2 separate regions of the Mus musculus genome follow, and region 2 is reported to be linked to region 1. The links are microRNA targets in miRTarBase. Many come from high-throughput screens and were not tested one by one. Region 1 holds a microRNA gene; the other region holds the end of a gene's coding sequence.
The links. Region 1 holds the annotated microRNA mmu-miR-3076-5p (CACAGGGGAAGCUCAGUGCCAGCC, at 4,648-4,671, opposite strand). A microRNA usually pairs through its seed, bases 2 to 8, with sites in the 3' UTR of a target mRNA and lowers its output. Matches are read on the target gene's strand: a 7mer-m8 pairs with bases 2 to 8, a 7mer-A1 pairs with bases 2 to 7 and ends in A, and an 8mer does both.

Region 1 (7,966 bases):
ATCCACATGTCAATAAATCCCAGCCCCCTGCCCGAGGGGCTTGATTTCGGGATTCTCATCCAGAGACCGCTATGGCTTTCACCTTTTCCCACTCTCAAAGGGAGGACTCGAGGGGCAGAGGTCCAGATTCCTCCCACGTGCACACACCCAGGAAGGAAGGGGTGCTTGGGAGAGGTGAGGATGGATGTCACCCCAGCCTTGGAGCCAGAAATGTGGATGGCAGCCAGGGGGATGGTGGATAAAAGGCGCATGTTCCCTCTTCAGGGGTGATAATATGTCGCACAGCTTGGTGAGTCTACTAAAACACCATTGACTTTTATTTTGAAAGGGTGAACTGTACAGCATGGATCTCAGTAAACTTGACAGGGCAATGTTAATAACAGTCATCTTAAAGTCTAACAGCTAAGTATGCCGGGCAGCTTCCTGAGTTCTGGGCCTGACTCACTGTTAACTGTAGGCAGCCCCATGTCTGTAGTCACCGGAAACCTGGTGCTAAAGGCTACTTGCTTGCCCTGAATGAACTGCTCTGAAAAGCAACATCTCTGAGCCCTTACCGGACAGTGTACTGATGGTATTGTGGAATGTATCATAGTTCATCCTCCCGGCAGCCCAAGGGAGCTGCCTTTATTCCCATTCAACGGATGAGGCACAGGAGGCTGGGGAGAGGACTCTTCCTCCACAGTGCAGGAGGATGGAGGCAGGACTGGAGGCAGGACTGGAGAGAGCTGCTCCTTTACAGTTGTGATCTGGAAGGTTTGCGAGGCTCCCCAGCCCTGCCACCTATGCAGCTGAAGACTGAGAAATGAGCAAGGCACTTTCTTCCTGTTACCATGTCCCAGTGCCCACGTGGTGTGAGTGACAGGAGACCTTGCTTGCTTCAGCCGGCTACAGGAGGCTCTCGCTGGCCCAGGGAAAGTCCTACCTTTGTGCAGCCTTGAGCCTTGGCCCTGACCAGGCCCAGGAGCTACAAGGAAGCCTCAGGTGCTCATGGCGGTCTTCTCACCGTCCCAAGGGCTGAGGAAGAAGTAAAGGCTTCCTCAGGTTCCTGAGGCCTAGGCATTTGGGATTCCAGCACACTCTAGAAGGCTTCTCACTAAAACCCCAGACCAAACCAAACCAAACCAAACCAAACCAAACCAAACCAAACCAAACCAAACCCACAGCAGCTTCACCTACTCCTCAGAGTTCCTGGCTCCCTAAATGCCAGGTGTTTGATGTTGTAGACTGAGTGAGTTTAGGTGACTGTGCCTCAGGAGCACCTCTGCCCGTTTACTCCCCAGGCATCTATCTGGCTGCCTGCTTAAGCTTTAACCATCTCCTCAAGAGAGTGCAGGCCGTGGAGAGCCTGAAGGTGAGAGAAGCCACCTTCCCCATCTCTGCTCTGGAAGTCACATGTTCCCCAGACCCCTACCTCTTGCCATGTTAGGAACCTCATACAGGCTCCTTGAAGCCATCTATGTACAATTCTGCTGCCTGGCCCAGGCACCTGTGAAATCCTCAGAGCACCGCACCAGCTCAGGCACTGGCATTTCTAGTTCTTATCCCTCACCCCTCACTCAGCCTTGCACATCCCTGGGCCCACAGACAAGCAGCAGCAGGTGGGTGCAGCAGACCCTCTCCGGTGCTACGGTTGGGAGTACTTGTCCCATTTTCTTCTGGAAACATCTTTTCATGAGCCTATAACCTCTAGGGAGAACAGCAGTTTTGCTGACACAAAGGGCACTAAGCTGCAGGCACCTTCCATCGTCCTACAGGACAAGGACTTTTACATATGGTTGACTACATAGCATCCCCTTTAAGGAGGCCACAAGGACAAAAATGGTAGCCACAAAAACCCGAGGTGCAGTCCTTTACTCTGCATACTGGGCTGTAGTTAAGCCAACTTAAGCTCATCTCCGTGTAGGTTATAAATGAATGGTTATTTTATTTGACCATTACTGGGGGGTAACCCCTAATCTACTTTCCTAACTGCTGGCCTGGCTACCTCCCCAGCCGTGTGCCCCAGACACTTGCCAGTTTCTCTTGGCCATGTGCTCAAGGTCCATTCCCCCCACCACCTCAACTCCCAATCCCACCTACCTCTAATCCTCCAGTAATTGACTGTAGCCATTTTATTTAAACAATAGTTTTAAATTAAGGAAGAAGGTTTGCACAATAAAAGCCTGTAGACTTTTGGGTACAGAATTTAGCATTGCAATACATAGACCAATCCTTAGCACTCAGCCAAGTGGAATGCCTTCTAAAGTGGTTTCTTGTAGTAAGGATTAAGTAAAATGCATACAAAGTTCAGTAATGTCACTGTCACCTCCACCTGCTGTGAGCTTTACAGAGTTCAGAAAACACCATCCCTAGTCTCCTTCCTCAGATTCCTCTGTAGGGGTGTGCTTAGCACTGTAGTACCATAAATGGCCACCAGGTGGTGACCAAGCACCCAAGCTTTACTGTTTTTGTTCAGAACTACATAACATATTGTAGTTATGTCCAGACTCAAAACTCGTGGCTGAGAAGTTCCTCAATTGTCCTGACAGGGAGATGGCTTGCCTTCTTTTCTCAGTGAAGGAGAGTTCCTGACATGCGGAGCTCAAGGCCTCCCAGGGTGTGCCCTAAGATCACCCACTGAGGAGTCTCTGTCATCTCCCTGAGACAACCTACCTGCTCTGCTGTTTCTGGAGTTGGTACCATACAGTTCCCTGGCATGGAAGGATCGGGCCAGGCAACTCGCTAGCTGAGCAGTTTGTCGACAAAGGGCAAACATGCACATAGCTCAACAAATGGGCCCCATCCTCCCTAAGGGCACTGCGGAATTCCTAGGAAACAGCAGTGACCACCCATAAAAGGAGGAGTTGTGGGACCTTGGGGGCCATGGTGCAGCTATGGAGGGCCCAGGAAGGTTTTATAAGGCAGGAGGGAACTCCATGGTGTCATTTAGGGTACACTGGCAAAGGAAGGGGCTGGATCCTAGTTTGGCTAAAAGGCAGGCTGCAATGAGTGTCCCCAGTTATGACTTGGTGGGAGCAGTTGTGGCTTTGCAGAGGCTGAACTGGAGAAGGGGATTCCAGGGGACACCTAGATCCAGGGGACACCTAGATCCTGACCCCAAGCCTAGAGAGCCAGCTCTCTCCCTCTCTCCCCAGTCTCCTTCTCATACTGGCACTGGATATGTTTATATCACAGGAAAAAAAAAAGAGTCTGAGGATTAATTTTTTTCTCAAAACATATATTTACCTCCCCACTCAGTACACCTTCGCCACCTCTGCCAGAACCTCCCTGGAATGTGTAGTTCACCCACCCAGCATCCCATGCCCTCCCTAGCCCTTGGTGACAAGGCCTTTCACAGCTTGCACAATGGCGTCCTTGTCAATACCGAACATCTTCAGTAGCTCAGCTGGCTTGCCACTTCGTGGTACTTGGCTGACAGCCAGGCGAGTGACCGTCACTCCAGGTTCACCCACTACGGCAGCAGACACTGCCTCTCCTATGCCACCTGTGCAGAGGAAAGTCAGAGAGGTCTTAGTCCTGAGCCAGAGATGACAAAGACACAGCCCTTGCCGGAGCAGACATCACTAATCCACCAGGGTTCCCATGATTTATTCTAAGTCCAGATGTGCACTTTCTTTTTGTCACTTTTTCTTTGCCACTTGCCTGATTTTACACAGTGCTGGGGATTGAACCTAGGGCTTCATGCACACAAGGCAAGGACTCTACCATCAGAGCCCTACATCTATTTGTTTGTAGCTTTGACTGGCCTAGAACTCCCTATGTAGCTCAAGGTGGTCTTGAATTCAGAGATTCACCTGTCTTCACCTTCTGAGTCCTGGGATTTAGCCTCAACATTTAGCTTTATGTAATTAAAAAAAAATTGTTTTTAAACGTGTACCGAGTGTTTTTCCTGCATGTCTGTGAGCCACATGCTTGCTCCACGCCCTCAGAGGCCAGGAGAGGACACTGGGGACCTATAGATGCTTTCGAAGGCTATGTGACTGCCGGGTCTTCCCTGCTCCTTGAGTTAATACTTTAAACACTTCTTTATCTAGTATGTGTGTGCACACATATGGTACAGCTGGGGGTCAGCTTGACTCCCACAAGTTGTGCATTTGACCTTAGAGTCTCAGCTCGTCTCTCCTCAGAGGCTCCTGTAAGAACAGGCATGCACTTATAGAGGACTCAAGAAGACACTCGGTACTGTCTTTCCTGTTTGTTCCTGTCCAGCCATCTTACCTCCTTGATACGAGGCCCAGGAGTTCAGCTGTGGCCAGAAAACCCAGAGCCTTCATCAGTATAGCTGAGACCTGGCCTCTTCTGAGGCTTTAGGCTTTGGTATAGGGATCCAGCTAACCCATTTGCCGGCTGGCTCTACTCCCCGAGCCCCTGCCAGGCCGTGAGTGGCAAAGGCGGACTGTCCTCAGAGGAACTTAAAGTGGTGTCTACCTCTTGCCTCCCCTACTGCTCTCTCTGGCCTTCCCTCGCCAGGCTGGTGCAGCCCCAGTTACCTTCGTAGTAGTGGTCCTCCACGGTGAGGATCCTGCCTTTGGTTGCTCGGGCAGAGTCTAGGATGAGTTTCCTGTCCAGGGGCTTGATAGTGAAGGGATCCAGCACCCGGATGCTGATCTTATCTGCAAGGGAAGACCAGAGTGCGGCTAAGAGAAAGGCTGGCACTGAGCTTCCCCTGTGTTAGAACAGAACTCCAATGGCCCCTTATCCCGAATGGGGCGTCTTGGGCCTAAGAAGAACTACTCTTTGGTGGCTAGCTGTCTGTCCACTTACTCTCACCATTGAGAATAGCTCTTCTCCCTATTCTCTCCTGTTTGGGAGAGATAGTGGTCAGCTGGGTGCCCTGTGGACCGACTGTTAGAGCAGACTATGGGGCTCTTATCCTCCTATGCCTTTGAAGATAAAAGGAAGACTTCAGATATCTGATCTAACATAAAGGTTTTTGGGATAGTGGGGAGAAGAGCTGTAGCCAGAGTGACTTTCTCAGAATAAAAGCCACCTCACCACACCCAGCTGCCTAGACACCCTGTCTGGGTGGAGCTTTCTTGACCTCTCAGGCCCAGCTTGCTACAGCCTCAGTCCTGTTCACCCCCACATTGCACAGGCCACTCAGGTCACCCAACCAAGGGACCACCTTTTGCTTCCTGGTGCTCACAAGCTTGAGATGTGACGTGTCTGGCGATCTCACTGAGAGGACGAGGCTGACGCTCTGTCCCTACGGTATCACTAGCTAACAACATTATACTTATAGTAATAATAACAGTATGAATGCCAAGGCACACCTAAGGCCTTGGGACAGTCATAAAGGCTAAGTGCCAGTTTACACGTGGGGAATCGGAGACACAAAGACGGTGAATAAGTCATTTAACTAGTGACCGGCTGAGCTGTGACTTCAGTTTTCCTGGCAGGCTCCATGGCCTCCGATCTGATACAAAGGGATCATAGGTGAGGATAGTCACCAGTCCTAGAACATAGCATGGACATGGCGTAATGGCTCAAAGGGTGGCTTCAGTTATTGTCATCATGACTTAACTAGAGATTCTGTGTGACCAGCCTGTGACCTCCCTGGTCCCTTTCTTCTTACCTTTCTTTAGACTCTCTGCAGCAGCCAAGGCCTCATGCAGAGTTACACCAGCCCCGATCACTGTCACTTGGTCATCCTTGCTCTTCAGGACCACCTGCGGGTGACATGGGGACAGTGAGGGGCCAGAGCAGGGTCTGAGAGTAGAAGCAGCAGCAGGGTGGGTGGCTCCCTCGGGTTCTCATACACGAAGGGCACTGACCTTGGCTTGGCCGACCTGGAAATCCTCATTGTTGCTATAAATAATGGCATTCTCTGGGCGGCTGGTCCGGATGAAGCAAATGCCCTGGGATTGGAACAGATAAACTGAGAAACACGACAGCTTGGTCTTCTAGAGGGCCACCCTTCCTAGATACAAGCCTCATTTAGTCAGTCAATTATAACCTGGGCACAGTCATTGTGTCCTGGCGCTATGGCAAAGAGATGGGGCTGGTTCCCTGTAGCTGGTACCTCTGAACACAGGAGAAGAAGCACCCACAGCCTGGCTAATCTCAGACTGGAAGCAACTTCTAAAAGGTAAACTGGCTTGGCTTCTCAGTGGGGCTACTCCCCAGAATGCCTCGGTAAGGCTGGCCCCGGCTCTCGGGTGGGACACGGGAAACTCTGTATGCCAGTCTGAGGCAAGTCAGTTATTGTCCTGGACCAGAGACTCGGGTTACTGTCCTTCAACCCAAGGAAGGCAAACACCAGTGGTCAAGCTGGCAGAGTGCCCATCAGCTGGCAGTGTCTGCCATGATGCATGACGAATGGTATGCTTTGATTTTCTCAGTCTTGTTTCTTTAAGGTATACACACACGAGGGACATGGCCAGGAAATGCCTCCCTAGGCAGCAAGTGACCAGCTCTACCTTGCGCTGGCCTCCTCTTCTGCCTCTGTGGAAGAGCTAGCTTCCAAAAGAACAGCCACACGACTAACCTTTGTGTTGGCTGCTAACTCCACTGCCTTCTCTGTTGCAACTCCATCGCTTGGGTAAAAGACGGTGGACATGGGGACTGACCGGAACATGGCCAGGTCTTCGAGGGCCATCTGAGAGGGCCCGTCTTCCCCTGGAGTATTGAAAAGAGGCTGATGATTGGCTCCAGCTTCCAGCGTGCCCTCCCACACGCACTGGTGCTTAGCAACAGGTCTGAACTCACCAATGGACACACCACAGTGGGAGCCACAGAGGTTGATGTTGCTCTCAGAGATGGCGGCCATGCGAATCTGGTCGAAGGCCCGTGTGAAGAAGGCCGCGAAAGTACTGCAGAAGGGCACTGTCCGGTCACGTGTGGCACAGCCCACGGCAATGCTCACCTGAGGGCAGGAGGGCCAGATTAGCCCTGAAGAACAGGGAGCCCAGAACCCTCCCGAGGCCACATGTGGGAGGCAGAAGAGGCTGCGATCCTAGTATGCTAACCCTCGAGAGTTGCCTGGGTACCCGTGGCTCTGTCATCTGTTTCCCAGCCCCAAACTCCTTTGACTTGAAATGATTATTTCAAAACTCTTAAACTCAGTTTCCTGGGCATGGTGGCGCACGCCTTTAATCCCAGCACTCTGGAGGCAGAGGCAGGCGCGGATTTCTGAGTTCGAGGCCAGCCTGGTCTACAAAGTGAGTTCCAGGACAGCCAGGGCTATACAGAGAAACCCTGTCTCGGAAAAACCAAACAAAAAAAAAAAAAAAAAAAAAAAAAAAGACCAAAAATCAACAAGTTTCCTTTGACACCAGGATGGTTGCAATCTATAATCCCAGCAACTTGGGGCATAGGAGGATCGGGAATTCAAACTAGCCTTAGCTACATACTGAAATCTAGGGTGTCCTGGGCTACATAGGAGCCTCCTCCTCCCTTTTTTTAAAGGCTCTATAGACCAGCAGGTCCCCTTTACCTCCATTATCTGTCCTATATACAAGCTCCTCCCTTGGGAATAATCATCCCCAAAATTGGCTACCCAAGGTCAAAGGTCAATGTGGGTTCTAGTTACTCTGTGGTTTTCTTTCAGCTGACCCACGGCTGTCACTCAGCACTGTCAATACGGCTGCCCGAGGGAGAAAGAGGGCTTCCGCCTGCTGCTACCTGTCAGGATAGCCCTGCAGCTGTGGCTGTGTGTCCTTCACCCTACCCAGGCACCCACCATGTTTTGCTCGGCAATGTAGCACTCAATGAACCGGTCTGGGTGCTCCTTTTTGAAGAGCTCCGAGAAGGTGGAATTCTTGGTGTCTCCATCCAGGGCAATGATACGGTCACTGGCGTGGCCCAGCTTAGCGAGGGCCAGTCCATAGGCCTTCCGGGTGGCTATCTGTGGGCAGGAGCAAAGGCTCTGAGGACCACTGAGGCATGTGCGAGGATGGGGTCTAGAGTCTTGTCTGACTCTATGGGGTTTTGAAGCTTCCGAAGGATGAGAAAAATGGGAACCCAG
Region 2 (3,000 bases), not on the chromosome of region 1:
TACTGTAGTCATTAGCAGTTCACTGCTGACTCATAGCTCACTCCCTTGATAGGTGCCTTGACACCCCGAGGTTCTGCCTTCTTAATATTGGTTAATACATTTTGGGGGGTATAATGATTGAATCTGAACCTTCAAGCACGCTAAGCAAGTACCCCGCCATTAGGCTATAACCCCAGTCCTCTTTTCATCTTTTATTTTGAGATAGAGTCTAAGTTGCCCAGGATGGCCTTGAAGTCACACTCCAGACCAACCTAATTTTGAACGTGTGATCTTCCTGTATCATTGTGAAGTATCAGGCCTGCACAGAACCCAGCCTAACTGATGTATTTTGGTTTTTTTTTCTTGTCAATTATACCAAGTATGAGATCATACCAAATGTCTATAGAAGATGAATTACCTCAACATCCAAGTATGAATAGAACCAGGATTCTATCAGCAAGCTAGCTCACAAACACAAGAAGACATATTAGTTAGAAGATAGCCAGTTTTACAAGGCAAGAGGTGACTTTGCCTATGTCCTATAGCAGCTTTCTTAGACAGCATCATAACACCAAGGACTTCACCTCATGTTTAACATTTTCAATCTCAGTGAGTTTCCTGGGTTCACAGGTCTACTAGAGGAATGTTTAGTTTAAGTCAACCTTTTGCAACATTGCAATGAATTGCAGTCATCTAAGAACCATCACAGGTGGACATCTAATGACCCAGCTCATTAAATATCCAAAGAATGGCTAAGGAGTGCAAAGAGTGGCGGTAACACCCCCTCTTTCTCACTTTCAGAGGTTAAAAGGAAATCCCATTTCTAGCCAAGCAGATCTTTGCTTTTGTCCCACCAACCATTTGAAAGTTAAATGCATCTGCTTTCTCAGTACCACTTCCCCAAGCCCCTCCAGGAAGGCAGAGAGCATTTCTCACATCTCATCCTTTACCGGTGGAAAGCAGGGGCCATTTCTGCCTTTTATGTGGAGGGTTCTGGCAGTTTGAGCTATGATCTTAAAATTCAGTCTCTATTCAGGAATATAGATGTAAAAGTTTCCGTTTTGGTTATGTGCATGTGTGAATAGTGTGCCTCCATGGGGACAAATACCTGAGGTGTCCAGAAGAGGGGGCTAGACCTCTCCTAGAGCTGGAGTTACAGGCAGTTGCGAACTGCTGGCTGGCAGTGGGTGGATGAATACTGTGAACAGAACTTGCATGTTCTGCAAGTGCAATACCTACGTGTGGTGTGTGTGTGTGTGTGTGTGTGTGTGTGTGTGTGTGTGTGTTACAGGGTCTCTCTGTGTAGCCCTGGCTGTCCCGGATATTATGCAGACCAGGCTGCCCTCCAACTCAGAGATCCTCCTGCCTTTACCTCCAAGGATTAAAAGTGTGCACTACTATGTCCCGATACAGTACATACTTCTACCTCTTAAGCCATCTCGCTGGTCCCCAGGGTTTTAGAAAAAAGCAGATGCAGATTCATATTTAGCAGACTACATATACAATGTAAAAGTTCTCTAAGCTTGACTCACTTGGCATCTATGAGCTTGTGGCCCAGTTTCCTTTATACAAAAACAAACATGCAACCCAACTTTGGTACTAACGTGCTTACATTCTTTCAGATAGTGTGTGTGTGTGTGTGTGTGTGTGTGTGTGTGTACGCATGCGAGTGTTTAAAGCTCTTTAAATTCCAAATTAAAGCTGTTACATTTTGAACTCAGCTGCCAGGCTCACAACCCCTGGTTACTAGTGATACCAGCATCGCCCTTCCCTGTAACATGGGGTCAGACAGTTGGGCAGCTCTCTAGAAAACTAGCGTTCCTATTGGCTATCGAGTAAATTCCAGGGATAGATAGGATTAAGAGCTTCAAAGAGGATTCCCCAGCCCTCCCTCAAAGGAGGGTCAAACACTGTGGTCTAATTCTGGGATAAAGTAAGCCGGTGAGAAGGAGAACGTGCCTGTTTACATAGCCGTGTGGCCCTTCCCAAAGCAGCACCATCCTGTCCCTCCCCCATCCGGGGATGAGTATGGAGCGGTCTTCTCTTGAAGCAAGTGTGCAGAGGATACACCACAACCTTCTTGGCTGTGACCCTAAATGGGGTCACGACACAAAAACCTCTCATAGCTGCAGCTCCTGGTGACTAATAGGCAGGCTCTGCCAAGTGCAGTAGTGTATCACAGAGAAAGCACTTTGCACGAGCCTCTATCCGTACACACTCCCAAAGCCTAGGCCCCAAAGGATTAAGGTAACAAAACCCACGCGCATCTTACTGCAACTGGTTTCTTGTCTAGGGAACAAAATGTCTCCCTCCCCCACCACCACTATGCTTGATACAACCCCACACCTTAACAAAATTGTCTCGTCTAAAACAGAATGAGTGCTACCAACCAGCGTGAGGGCACCAAACTTGGGACATACGTCTTAACCCATCAAACTCAGAGGGACCTGGGGTCACTGTGGACCGATTTCTATTAATAGGAGGTAAAGCTCCTACAGACATTAGAGGTAATGGCCTGGCCGCCCTGTGCTGTTAACTCCTCTTGGGCCAGCATGTTAAAAAACAAAACACGTTTTGCCCAGGCAGAGGTGGGCTTTGAAAGGATCATGTTCATATGCACACATTCAGGCTCACTACCTCTCTCCTTAACGGTTCAAACCCGAAGCCCATGCCCTGGAAAGAAAAGGGGCAGCGGACGACCGTTGGATATCAGTCAGCTCAGCTTTGCCACACATAAGGCGAGGGCCACAGCCACCAACAGCACGGCGCTGAAAACGGTGGCAGCCAGGGCCTTGCTGGGGTCGCAGGGGCCCGCGCGCTCCTCTACCGAAATGCCACCGGCTGAGGACGCGCCGGCACTGGCACCGGACAGGAGTTCGGCGCCTGCCGCTTGTCGCGCCTGTACAGTCCAGCGGGGCACGTTGACTTTCATTTCCATGTCGTCAATCATCTCGCCCACCTGGAGGACTTCGCGCTCCAACTGGGGCAGATCGGCGACATCGAAGTCGCTCTCCGCTTCGT

Region 2: the mRNA of Rgs9bp is a reported target of mmu-miR-3076-5p. Seed matches in the 3' UTR shown: 7mer-A1 at 1,266-1,272.

Annotation. Positions count from the first base shown.
Region 1 is chr14:30,568,855-30,576,820 of GRCm38, reverse strand. It overlaps Mir3076 (microRNA 3076), which reads right to left and starts at 4,672; the gene lies at 4,613-4,672. It overlaps Tkt (transketolase), which reads right to left. Exons shown (of 14, transcript NM_009388.6): 8 at 7,682-7,846; 9 at 6,709-6,865; 10 at 6,488-6,618; 11 at 5,775-5,858; 12 at 5,576-5,669; 13 at 4,491-4,613; 14 at 2,097-3,484. The coding sequence ends at 3,309.
Region 2 is chr7:35,581,815-35,584,814 of GRCm38, forward strand. It overlaps Rgs9bp (regulator of G-protein signalling 9 binding protein), which reads right to left. Exons shown (of 1, transcript NM_145840.3): 1 at 1-3,000. The coding sequence ends at 2,693. Among named protein-coding and RNA genes, the nearest start is that of Rgs9bp, 2.3 kb to the right of the region's middle.